Coturnix japonica: one gene and its partners. The protein of the gene in region 1 interacts with the protein of each later gene in a biochemical or structural test. Links are inferred from orthologs where the notes say so. Each region holds a gene or a part of one and is shown on either strand. Other genes may lie near its edges.

Region 1 (3,226 bases):
GCTAATTATGTTGTGCTTGAAACCTAATGGTTGAGATACAAGTTGCAATGAGCTACTGTGCTACTAATGTCTGGTTAAGTGGAAAGCTACAATGTTCATCCACGTTGTATTGCTCATAAAAGATTACACAACAATTTAATTCTGATGTTGCTGTCCTATTCCAGCTTTTCTTATGGCGTGTTCAAATTTAGAATGGTTCCAGCAGTGCTTCTGAAAACATGGGAGAGGCCAAAGATGTGGATCTTTAGTGACTTGGTACACAGTTGCTGAAATCTGGATGTCTTAGGCCTTTGCTGCAAGATGAACAAGTCTCTGTCAGAGCAGATTGATTCATTGCTGCTTCTGTTCCTTTTAATGATAATTTATGAGTCCTTACTAGTAGCTTGTGTTTACTTACCATTTTATACATGGCATCAGTCTCCTTATCCACTACCAACAGTGTGGTTTTTTCCTTAGACTGCTTAATCTTTCCCACTACACTTTCATGATCCAGTGCATCCACTCGCTCACCATTGACAGCTACCAAGATATCATCATCTTTGAGACCTGCCTTGGCTGCTGGGCTCTTGGGATCAACATCTTTGATTACATGATCTAAGATCAAAAGGGGAAAAAAAAAGATGGCTGTGAAGGACTGTTTGGTAAGTGTAATGGTATTTTGTGTGGTAAAAGCTATTGCTGAAATCATGCTTGAGGTTGAGACAGTTTCTTTAATACAGGCTTTTTAAGTAGCCAGACAAGGAGAATGAGGCCTGCAAACCGTACAGAAATAATGTATCGCAAATGTCATGGCCCGTGTGTTAGCTTGGTTCTTACCACCAGTGGTTTGTTCCATCCGTAGAAAAAAGCCATAACCATTTTTTCCTTTCTGAAGCTCAATAAGTCTTGGCTTATGAGGAAGGAGTTTTAGGTTGGCATTCTCTTTGCTCAGCACCATCTTCTGGCTTGTATAATAGCGGTCTGTTTCTTCATTTGAAAGTAGAAGCATAATGTGATTTCCAGACTTCTTTACCTGCATTAGTACACGTGCAGTCACAGATATGATCCCTTCAAAAACAACTGTAGCTACATCAGTAACTGGCTTACTAATACACTAGTAGTGGAATACTGCTGCTGCATCAGCTGGAAGGTCTGGGTGAGGCTACTATAGGGTTTTTTTCCTTTTTTCTTAGTAATTTGGACCATATCAAGATCTCAGACACGCAAAATCTTGCATGTGTATGAGGAAACATCCTGTATTTCATACTGTTTTCCAGGTCTCTGAATAACTAGCTGTAGAATTGACCTAACAGCCATAGGGTTGGCATGGAGTGGCAGTAAAATCCATTAAGCCTCAGTAGATAGTGCCTGACTCTCATCTAAACCTGAAACTCTATAGGACAGACATGTCATGCCATCCATATCACTATTTTGGCATCAACAAGCAGATAACTTTGCCCTAGTGTTACATTTCTGTCACACTCCTGTCCCGCTTCAGTGTCCTTGTATGACTGGCTCTGAAGAGTTTTGGTCTGTTCAACCTCTCCTTTTAATTCTATCTGTCTCAAACTGCTTTCTAGTTCAGTGGGTGCCCCCTTCACTCATTTGAATGAATGTGACTGTAGTTGATGGTTTGTAGCCCCAAAAAACACAGGTGTTGCACAGCTCCATAGTTAGTAGTGCACACTCAGTTGTGTTGCTAGAATGCCAGAGCATGACCAGCCCTCTGAAATCTCTTCAGCTCTATCTTTGTTTTAGCAGTGCCATCAGTGGAGAACTGGAAGTCTCATTAGCAATTTTCTTTGCAGCTGAGGCCTGGCAGCAAAATTATTTGTAGTGTAGTTTTCATTAATCTTGGGCTTCTTAGTAGAATAAAGGAACTGCTGTCTAAAATCATGCATTTACCCTGTTCCATGCTGCCTGCATCATCAGAGAGTTACTCCTCTTCCTGCCCTAAAAGCCACTTTTAATTATTTGCCCTCTTACTAATGGGAGAATTTCCAGGGTTTCTAAGAACAGAGCATGTTTTATTTAATACGGTTTCTGGCACTCGTGTAATTCTCATATTTAGAATTCTTTGGCCTGTTTTGACAGCAGCGTTCATTCAGAGTCAGTTCAAGAGGCTGTACAACAACAAAGCCAAAGCAGAGGGGTACTCTGCTGTGTTAGTAATGTATAAACAGAAGCTTCCAAGATTTGCTGTGAAGCATTTGAACTAGGCAGACCTGCCTCCTCAGTAAGCCTGACAAGTTGCTGTGAAAATGGGCCAGAACAGAAGATGAATCAGTATGGAAACAAATACCTTTTCCACCACCTCCTCATGTGTGTCGTTTTCCACGTTTTTTCCATTGATTTCAATCAGGCGATCTTTATTTTGGACACCCGCCTTTGCAGCTGCTCCTTGTGATGCCAGATCTACTATGAACAACCCCTTGTGACCTGAAATAGATTACAGCTCATTACATGGAGTAATTCATCGAAACATGCTTGCATTTGATGGCTAAGAAGATTCAGCTCTGATGTCCTTAGACGTCCTTAAGTCTCTGCTTATGTGTCTATTGTAGTGGCACTACCACTTCAGTGTCTCTTATTTCTCTTATTCTGCTCAGGAAATAGCACTTCTATAGGAAAGGGAGATGGGTTTTCTCTTTACTGCAACTCAAACAGTCTTATTTCTCTTCCAGGAGTGCCAAAGGGGCTGATGAAGATGGCTGAAAGGGACTTTTTTTTGGACATTTTAAGAGAGGAGCTGTTTTCAGTGCTGTTTTACACACTTCCTGTGTCTGAAAGACATTTGATCTTTGGTTATACTGCATTCTGAAGTATCCTGTTCGTAGTTGATGATTTCCTGAAGGTTTGCCTATTCTGATCTTGTTGTTTCTTACTTCCCCTCTGTTAGCAAGAGCATTTTGTGTACCCTCCCCTCCCCTGGCTGTCATATGCATACCATTTGTCCTCCCTAGGCTCTCACCTTCTGTGGTTTTTAGGGAGAAGCCATACCCCTTCTCCTCCTTTACTAAGTAGCAGAGTCGTGGTTGTGGAACGGCAGTGATTGCTCCATTAGCCATGGGCAGTGTGGACTGCTTCTCCTCCTTTTTCTCCTTCTTTCCTTTTGACACCTTTTGACCCAACTCTTCCAGATTCGCTCCCTCCTTTTCTGCCTTTTTATAAGATGCTTCATCCAGAACAAGAAATACAACAGAATTTCCACTGTTCTTCACAATCTCCACCACCTGTAATGGACAAG
Region 2 (4,298 bases), on another chromosome or scaffold:
GAACTGTTCCCCACAACCCTGCCCAGTGTCCATCCTGCTCCTGCAGGAAGGGGCAGCACCAGTAGCCTGTTTTCTCTGTACTGCTAGTGATGCAGGGGAAACTGTGGGGCTGGTAGGACTTCAGCCCCAAGGCTGTCAATGAGTGACAGCCCATCTACCAGGGCCTCTGCGGGTTAATGATTGTGGGGACAGCCAGGCAGCGGCCACCACATCCTCTGGGCACAGGGCACATGCGGCCACCAGCCTCCCCCACTGGCATTGCTGGGCATGGGGGGCCCTGACTGCAGCCCCTGGTCAAGGGACATCCATGCCCCTGCTGTTCAGGAAAGGCACACCGCAGTGTGCAGCCTAGTAAAGGACACGGGGTTCCTTTGCAGGCTTACCCACAGGCTGTCCCTGAGCACCAGCAGCCCCCTGGGTATCCTTGTGCCCATACAAGCCATTGTGTCTGGCTTATTTGTGCTTATGGAGATACCAAGTTACTCTGCAAACAATGACGTCCTGCTAGCAGTGGTGCACGGTGTAGCTGTCCCCTCCAGATCTGCCATGGCATGAACCCATGGGCTAATGGAGACGAAGCTCTACTTCCCAGCTGGGTGACCTGCTTGGCCCAGGGTCCCTTGTCCAGCACCACACACGTCCCCTGGTCCCCACTGCGCCAAGGGAGCAGCACGTGCTGCCAGGGTGATCCAGGCACAGGTCACGCAGTGCTCCATGCCCCAGTAGGCACAGTCCAGGGCACAGGGGGTGCCCTGACGCACTCTGGGCAGCAGCCATGTGGCACCAGCTGGACCCAGCTCCAGAGGAACAGAAGCAGCATGGCCATGCAGCCCCACTGTGCCCGCTCCCTTGCAGCAGCACTGGAGGGGCCTTTGGCCCCAGCTCTGCCCTTAGCTGCCATAGGCACGAGCTGGCCGGGCACCACGTGGATAGATGGAAACTTGGCGGAGGTGTGTAAACGAGGGGTAATAATAAACAGCACTGAGGTGCATTGACAAGCACACTGGCACTGCTCCCCTTCCACTCGACCTGGCATCGTGCATGCTGAGATAAAGCATTCTCTGTGGTGCGCTGGCACAGGCGACATGTCACCATCAGCGATGACACAGGGACCGTGCTGTGCCTGTCCTGCTGGCAGCATCCTGCAGCAATGCTGATGCAACCACTGCCACCACCCTTGGGCCAGGCCAGCAGAGCTGTGTGCATGGGGATGTGAGGCCACACACACTGGTAGTGGGACCTCCTCCTCCTCTCCTGCAGGGGATGAAGTGCACGGTGTGAGGCCGCCTTAGAAGTGGTGACACGGGGCCTTGGGCAGGCCAGGTGGGGTGCACGGGGCGTGCAAGGCACCATCCCCTGCAGTGTGTGCCCCATGCCACCCCCAGGACTGCGGCTGACATGGGATGCTGTGGGGTTACCCATTAACTGCAGGAATTTCTGGGGAGGAGGTGAGCAGTGAGCGGAGGCGAGGGGCAATGCCGGGCTCCTTAGACTTTGCTCTTGACGTGCATATAAAGGGCCCTGGTGCCCCGTGAGCCACTTTGCTGGAGGAAAGCATGGATTTGGCATGAGGACGCGGCGTTGCTCTGAGTGCTTGGCCAGCACCAGGTGAGCAGCACCCAGGGCAGGACAGTCTCCTGGATGGACAAGGGGATCACTAGGACGGTGCTCACTGCACCACTGCGTGGTTTTGGGGTGGCAGTGGTTGGAGCAGTGCAGATGTGGCCCCACCACAGTGACGTGTGGCTGCCTCTGCTCAGACTCAGCTGGAGTGATGCTGCCATACCGGAGGGAGAGCCCGGCCATGCCCCGCTGCCCAGTGCGGGGAGGAAGGGTGGTGCATGGGACCCCGTTTGCCTACTGCCCCAGCCCTCAAGGTAGGTCTCCCAGCCCTCCTCCTCACCACCTCCTTTCCATGCAGAGCTCAGCCCTGCTTCCCCACAGCAGGTGGGCTCCATGCCCAGCACCTTGAGAGGACAGGGCCATAATGCGTGTTTGATATGCCCGTACCCAGCTCTGCACAGGCTGCCGGGTGCCCACGCCTGCCCCTTCGCCGTGGGAGCAGTGACCTGCCCTGACCATGGCTTCCTGTGCCCTGGCTCCCCGGGGCGGCTGGTGGAGAGCCGGGAGCGCTACGAGCTGGATGCACTGCCATGGCAGGGGCCCCGCCTGGGCTTGGAGGAGCTGCAGAAGCCAGGTGAGGTCCTCAAGCACTGCACCCAGCTGGTGCAGCGGGAGTGGAAGATGCTCAGTGCCCTGTGGTGCTGCAGGCAGAGCAGAAGGAGATGTAGGGGACCCACAGACACGGCTGGGCATGCAGACTTGTGCCCAGCGTGTAACACTCTCTCTTGTCTTGCGCAGAGCTGGGCTGCTGGGTGAGGGTCCAGTCCATCTGTGTCTCCCTTCTCAAGGTGCCTCTGATGTTTGGCTTCCTGTACCTCTTCGTCTGCTCCCTGGACGTGCTCAGCTCTGCTTTCCAGCTGGCCGGAGGTACGGCCGTGGGCAGAGGGCAGCCAGCAGCACCCCGGCTCCAGTGCCCTGTCCTCATGCTCTCTCGCAGGCAAAGTGGCAGGGGACATCTTCAAGGACAACGCCATCCTCTCCAACCCCGTAGCCGGGCTGGTGGTGGGCATCCTGGTGACTGTGTTGGTGCAGAGCTCCTCCACCTCCACCTCCATTATTGTCAGCATGGTCTCCTCGGGGCGTGAGTGCACCCGTGGGGCTCCCTGGGGCTGGGGGCAGGATGGCTGAGGAGGATGTGGGGCTAGCAGGTCTCTCTGCCACCAGTGCTGGAGGTGCGCTCTGCCATACCCATCATCATGGGCTCCAACATTGGCACCTCAGTCACCAACACCATCGTGGCCCTCATGCAGGCTGGAGATCGCAGTGAGTTCAAAAGGTGAGCACTGATGGGGACAAAGGGACTTGGAGGGGCTGAGGGCTGCCCCACGCTGACACTCAGACTCCACCATGTAGAGCTTTTGCTGGTGCTACGGTGCACGACTGTTTCAACTGGCTGTCGGTGCTGGTCCTGCTGCCGCTGGAGGTGGTGAGCGGGTACCTGCACCACGTCACCCGCCTGGTGGTGGCCACCTTCAACATCCGCAGTGGGAAGGATGCCCCTGACCTGCTGAAAATCATCACGGAGCCCTTCACCAAGCTTATCATCCAGGTCTGCTTGGGTTGGCTGCGTTGTTGCCAGGGGTGGTCCTCCAGCGTTGGTGTCCCCATGCTAGCAATAATGTCCCTAGCGCCAATGTCCCTGATATGGCAGTTCTGCCAAAGGCCGGCAGCAAAGTCCCCATCACAGTGTAGATGTCTCCAGCCTGAGGATGCTGCCAGCCCCCCAGTGCCATCCCCTCCAATGTGTTGTTGCAGCTGGACAAGTCGGTGATCACAGGCATCGCAACAGGGGACGAGAGCCTGCGCAACCGCAGCCTCATCCGCACATGGTGTGGCCCTGCACCAACCCAGGTGAGGGGCTTGTGGCCTTGCTATGGTGCTGGGGGGGGCAGGCTGCCCCCCCCTAAAAGCTCCCCATGGAAGGCAGTGGGCTGGGGCTGGTGAGGATGCTATGGGCTCACCCACAGCCTGCCTGCTCCCTGCAGACAGCTGCCGGTGGGGTAGGGGTGCCTCCAAACTGCACAGCGTCTGGACATTGCAGCAGTAATGGGATCCTTCACAACGTCACTAGGCAGAAGTGTGAGTGGGTCTGGAGGGTGTGCTTGTAGGGCTGGGGGTTCTGGGGGTCTGGAAGCCCTGAGAATGGGGCTGAAGGAGGGCTGGGTGATGCTGTGGGGCTGTGCGGGGCTGCTTGGTGGGGACAGGTTTGTGAGCAGGGCTGGGCAGGCCCCAGACCCTCGCCCAGCCGTGCTGTGGGGCAGGCGAGCACCTCTTCACGGACACGCCGCTGCCGGACCTGGCCGTGGGGCTGGTTCTGCTGGCTGGGTCCCTCGTCGTGCTCTGCACCTGCCTCATCCTCCTGGTCAAAATCCTCAACTCCCTGCTCAAGGGGCAGGTGGCCAAGGCCATCCAGAAGGTCATCAACACTGGTGAGTGGGACAGGGACCACTGTGGGATGAGACTATGACCACCCTCGGCCCTCTCTGCTTGACCTCTGTCATCCCCCATCCTAACCTTACCTCTAACCCCAGCCCTGCATGAACTCCTGGCCCCATTCCTACCTGCTCCCTGCTCTATTTATGCCTATCACATCCTCCTGTTGTCCATACCCCCCTTCCCATCCATCCTTCCCAGCAGACTCCTGCAGCCCCAAACTTGGCCCTATACCCAGAACC
Region 3 (4,034 bases), on another chromosome or scaffold:
GCAGGGGCAGGTGCTGAATTTATGGCCCTGGAGACAGGAATTCCTGTTCTGCATGGAACAAAGCCCTGATCCCGCAGGGGGTTGGGAGAGTGCTGAGCACTTTGTGGCTGTTCCCCATTGCAACACATGAGTGCCGTGGGATTGGGGTCTGAGCCCACCATGGGGGGCTTCCTCTCTGCTCACTGCAGCCCATGTTGTCAGGGAACACCACCCTGAGAGGTGAGCTGGGCTCACAGCCTCCCACAGCACATCGATCCCCACTGGCTTGGTTGAGAATGCCAGCCACGGAGCTGATTAATGCTGGGGTGGGCAAGTGCTGGCTTATTGTTCAGCATCTCCTCAAGAGGTCGATGGGAAATTTGGCAGTAGCTCTCCAAATCTGCAACGTGAGCACAGGCATTGGCCCTCTGAGCACCGTGTGTGATTTACACGTGAGCATATATTGCACGGGGGGGGAAATATACTCCTGGTGCCCAGGAACTAACATCACTGTATTGATGTTTGCGTGAGAACGCTCCCTCAATTCCCTGCCCTGGTTTGACCCTTTGGTGCTGGGCTTTAGGCTAATCTGCTCATGCTTTTGCCCTGATCCTTGCAGGCCTCTTGGCTCAAAGGTGTTGTGTGTGCTCGTGGGTCTGATTCAGCATCCAGGTGTTCCCTCTGGCTGGACAGTTTAGGTCTGTTGGTGTCAGAGCTGCTCTCCTCCAGCAAATGCAAGGCACTGCGCTGACTCTGAAGGATGTGTGATCGTGGTCTGATCCTGCTGGGGGATCTGGGCTTGATAAATTGCAGGATTGGGCCTGAGGAGGTGATACGCGATTTGGGAGGCACTGCTGGCTCATCTCTTTGGCTGGAGATCTTGTTTTTCCAGAACCTCGCACCGTTTGCAGTGATAACCTGGTGGCAGCGAGTTCTGCCTGTGAGCTTCTCTATAGACTTGCTGCGTCCCCTCTCTAAGATGAGGTGCAGACGCTGAGTGCCATCAGTGCGGCTGGGGACGGTGAGGAGGGGGTCGCGTGGTGATCCAAAGCTGCACAGAGGGCAGCCGCTGCCCTCCGCCCCTCCCCCGGGGGGGGCTGCGGTGTCTGGGGTCGGGGGGGGGAGGGTGGTGGTCCAACCCGCTCCGTAGGAATCGTGGGCGGCCGAGGGGACGTGCCCGCCGCGCCCTCTCCCCCCGCATCTCCGTGCGCCCCCGTCCGCGGCCGCTGGGTAGCGCTCGGAGCCGCGCCGACTCCCCGCCTCCCCGGCTCGGGCTGCCCCCGGCTCCGCCGAGCTCCGCCGCCGCAGCTCAGGAGGAGCAGGGAGGAGGAGGAGGAGGAGGAGGGAGGCAGCCGGTCGGAGCGCCGAGTGGGGACGCACCGCACGCGGCTCCGAGCGGGACCCCGCGCCGCTGCGCGTCACAGCCGCACTTTCTCCTTTTGCTCCCCCCTCTCATCCCACCCCGTCTCCCGGAGCCGCCGGGGGGAGGATGTCCCCAGGCAGAAGCTGAGCTCCGGGGAGGGGCCGCCTCCCCGCCCCCGGACCCCAAACTTTTTTTCTGCGGCTCCCCATGGTGCCCAGGCGGGCAGGAGGGGCCGGGGGCGGACAACGCTGCGCTTCCTTTCCCCTTCCCTGAGGCGGAGGGCAGCTCGTGGGGAGGGGTTCGGCTGCCGGCCCCGAGCTGAATCGTCAGGGGTCCCTGCTCTGCACGTCTCTGGGGGAGTTGGACACGGCGGAGAGCTGTCTGCGGTTCCCCCCGACCCCATCGGGAGCTCTGCGCATCGCATCCGCCTCCCTCCGAGCAGCGCTGCCGCGGAGGTCCCTGCGCCGGGGGACCGGAGAGCAGAGAGCGCTGGAGCCGCTGCCGCTCGGATTATAAAGTCAGGGAAGTTGCCCCCGTGTCGGCGGAGTCATGGCCCGGCCCGGGAGTTGGGGGCTGCTGTGCGCCGTGATGCTCGCCCTGGCCGGCCCCCCGGGAGCCGGCGCCCAAGGTAAGTGGGTATGAGGGGGACCTGGTGCGGGGAGCGGCTTCTTCAGCCTCCAGCTCCTGCTTCGATGCTGGCGGTGAACCACGAGCGGGTGGGGGGCATTCCCTGTGCCGTCCCCGACAGACGAACCCCGGGAGCTGGAGGACTCTGGGGGCTCTCACCTTATTCGGGATGGAGAAGTTTGGGTCGCAGCCCCAGAGTTCGGGGAGGGAGTGGAGGTGTTTAAGGAGACCCCCAGGTGCCCGGGGCCGAACGGCGCAGAGCGTAGCGCGGTGCCTGGGGGGGACTCAGCTCTGCGCTGCCTCCTGCTTCTCCTGCCCTGTAACAGTCTCCGTGCTGGGGATGGGAGGCAAAACGTTGCTTTGAGTGCGGGGTAGAAATGCGTCAGCCCTTTCCCGAGGACCGGACACACTCGAAGGTGAGGGCACAGATTTCACCCCCCTCCCTGGGGACCCCACTTGTGCGCGGCACGAGTTCTGGGAGCGGCTCTTGCAGTGATTCTGGTCCCACTGACCTCCAGCGGGTGGGGACGGGGTGGGGGTCTGCAGCCCTGAGTCCCTGTGGGTGCTCTGAGGCTTCATGTGCTGGGCAGTGTGAGTGCCTGTCTGCTCATCACCTCCGGGGCTCTGGCACAGCACAGTGTGCGTTTGGCTGCTTGGAGAGAGGCAGGAATAGTTCCTGCCCCTTTGGGGTGCAGAGATTCGCAGGGGGAGCCCTCCTTGGGCTGCTGTCCCCTTCCCAGCAGACAAGCATCCCTGCAGGGCTGTGAAGGAGGTGCTGTCTATAGCAGGGCTGCAGCACAATCTCCTCCATCCCTGCTGCTCGGACGGAGCACATCCAGGCTGCAAAATGGGGGGCACAGAGGGGTGCAGTGCTGTGCCTGGGGCTCCTCAACCCACGACATTTCTTGCCCTTGTTTGCGGCAGCGAGTGGAGCCACAAGTCCCCATGCACTCCTGTCCTCCTGCTCCCCCTGAGCCTCCCTTAGTTCTGCTATAATTTCTCAGTAATTAAGTTCAGAACATAACATCTAAAGCGGCAGTATATTATCCGGGCAGGCCCTGTGTGGGGAGCTGTGAAGGTCTCTTTGATTGATTCACTCCCTTGCCGAGTTTCTCTCCTCCTGCCTGGCGGCTCCAGCTCACAGTCCCCCCATGGTCCGTTTGTTCCCGGCTGTGGGATGATCTCCTGCTGTGCCCGACTCCTGTTTGTCCGTGGGGCTCTGGAGCAGAGGAGAAAGGGCTTTGCTCTGCTCTCCTGGTGCACGATCTGAGCTGTGCATCCTGCAGCATGCTGCGTGTCCTGGCGGGTGGTGTGACATTGCTGGGAGCTGGCGTGGCTGAGCGCAGGCAGTGATGGAGCAGCGTGGGGAGCATCGCCTGCCTGTCCCCTATGGCTGGCTCAGGGACACTGGGGCAGGGTCACCTCCTGCTGCACATGGGCTGACAGCAGTCATTGCTGCAACCCAAGTGGACATGGGTGGAGGAGCTGCCCCATGGGTACAGTGCCTGTTGTGGCCTTTATCTCAACCCTGCTGTGGTGGGTTCCCAACAGGGACACCCCCATATTGTTGGTAGAGCTGATGGCAGCCCCATAGCCAGGCCTGGAGCAGAAGCAGCAGTGTGCTTTGTGCCAGTGCTATTGATTCTAGCAACTGAAGGAAATGGGATCAATAGAGATGGAGGGAGGAGGGCTTGAGACCCTCCCGGCAGGACGCGGGCTCCCCAAGCACAGGATGAAACACTTTTAATACCTGCAGTTGCTAAAACAAAGACTTCAGCACCACTGGGGAGAGATGGGATGGAAGTTTAATTACAGCCTGCCTGCGCTGTGTAATTATTAATTACCCACGGCAAAAAATAACTTATTGATTAGGGGCCTCGTGCTAATTACCTGGAGGTGAATGCGCTGTGGGTTGGAGCTGTCGCAGTGCGACCCTCACACAACGATGAGACAACAGAGGGTTCCCCAGGAGCTGGGGGTGCTGTTCCCATTCCTTCCCCCCACACTTTGTTCTGCAGATTTTGTGCCCCCCAGAGGTACATTTTTCCCTCAGCTGGGGGCACAG

Evidence for each region. The genes of interacting proteins can lie anywhere in the genome.
Region 2: the proteins of PDZK1 (region 1) and SLC34A1 form a complex in vitro, tested with the Homo sapiens proteins (2 studies listed by BioGRID and IntAct, with this or other methods). The link is inferred for Coturnix japonica from reciprocal best matches to the Homo sapiens genes PDZK1 and SLC34A1.
Region 3: the proteins of PDZK1 (region 1) and SDK2 interact in a test that uses a peptide from one of them, tested with the Homo sapiens proteins (2 studies listed by IntAct, with this or other methods). The link is inferred for Coturnix japonica from reciprocal best matches to the Homo sapiens genes PDZK1 and SDK2.

Annotation. Positions count from the first base shown.
Region 1 is NC_029516.1:83,003,511-83,006,736, forward strand, and holds part of PDZK1 (Na(+)/H(+) exchange regulatory cofactor NHE-RF3), read right to left. Parts: intron 3,213-3,226; coding exon 2,951-3,212; intron 2,419-2,950; coding exon 2,282-2,418; intron 1,013-2,281; coding exon 817-1,012; intron 595-816; coding exon 398-594; intron 1-397. UniProt on the Homo sapiens protein: A scaffold protein that connects plasma membrane proteins and regulatory components, regulating their surface expression in epithelial cells apical domains.
Region 2 is NC_029528.1:11,928,456-11,932,753, forward strand, and holds the start of SLC34A1 (sodium-dependent phosphate transport protein 2A), read left to right. Parts: upstream 1-1,498; 5' UTR 1,499-1,608; intron 1,609-1,760; 5' UTR 1,761-1,774; coding exon 1,775-1,877; intron 1,878-2,014; coding exon 2,015-2,197; intron 2,198-2,361; coding exon 2,362-2,490; intron 2,491-2,560; coding exon 2,561-2,704; intron 2,705-2,787; coding exon 2,788-2,899; intron 2,900-2,976; coding exon 2,977-3,172; intron 3,173-3,378; coding exon 3,379-3,474; intron 3,475-3,608; coding exon 3,609-3,702; intron 3,703-3,884; coding exon 3,885-4,052; intron 4,053-4,298.
Region 3 is NC_029533.1:5,293,386-5,297,419, forward strand, and holds the start of SDK2 (protein sidekick-2), read left to right. Parts: upstream 1-1,234; 5' UTR 1,235-1,891; coding exon 1,892-1,970; intron 1,971-4,034.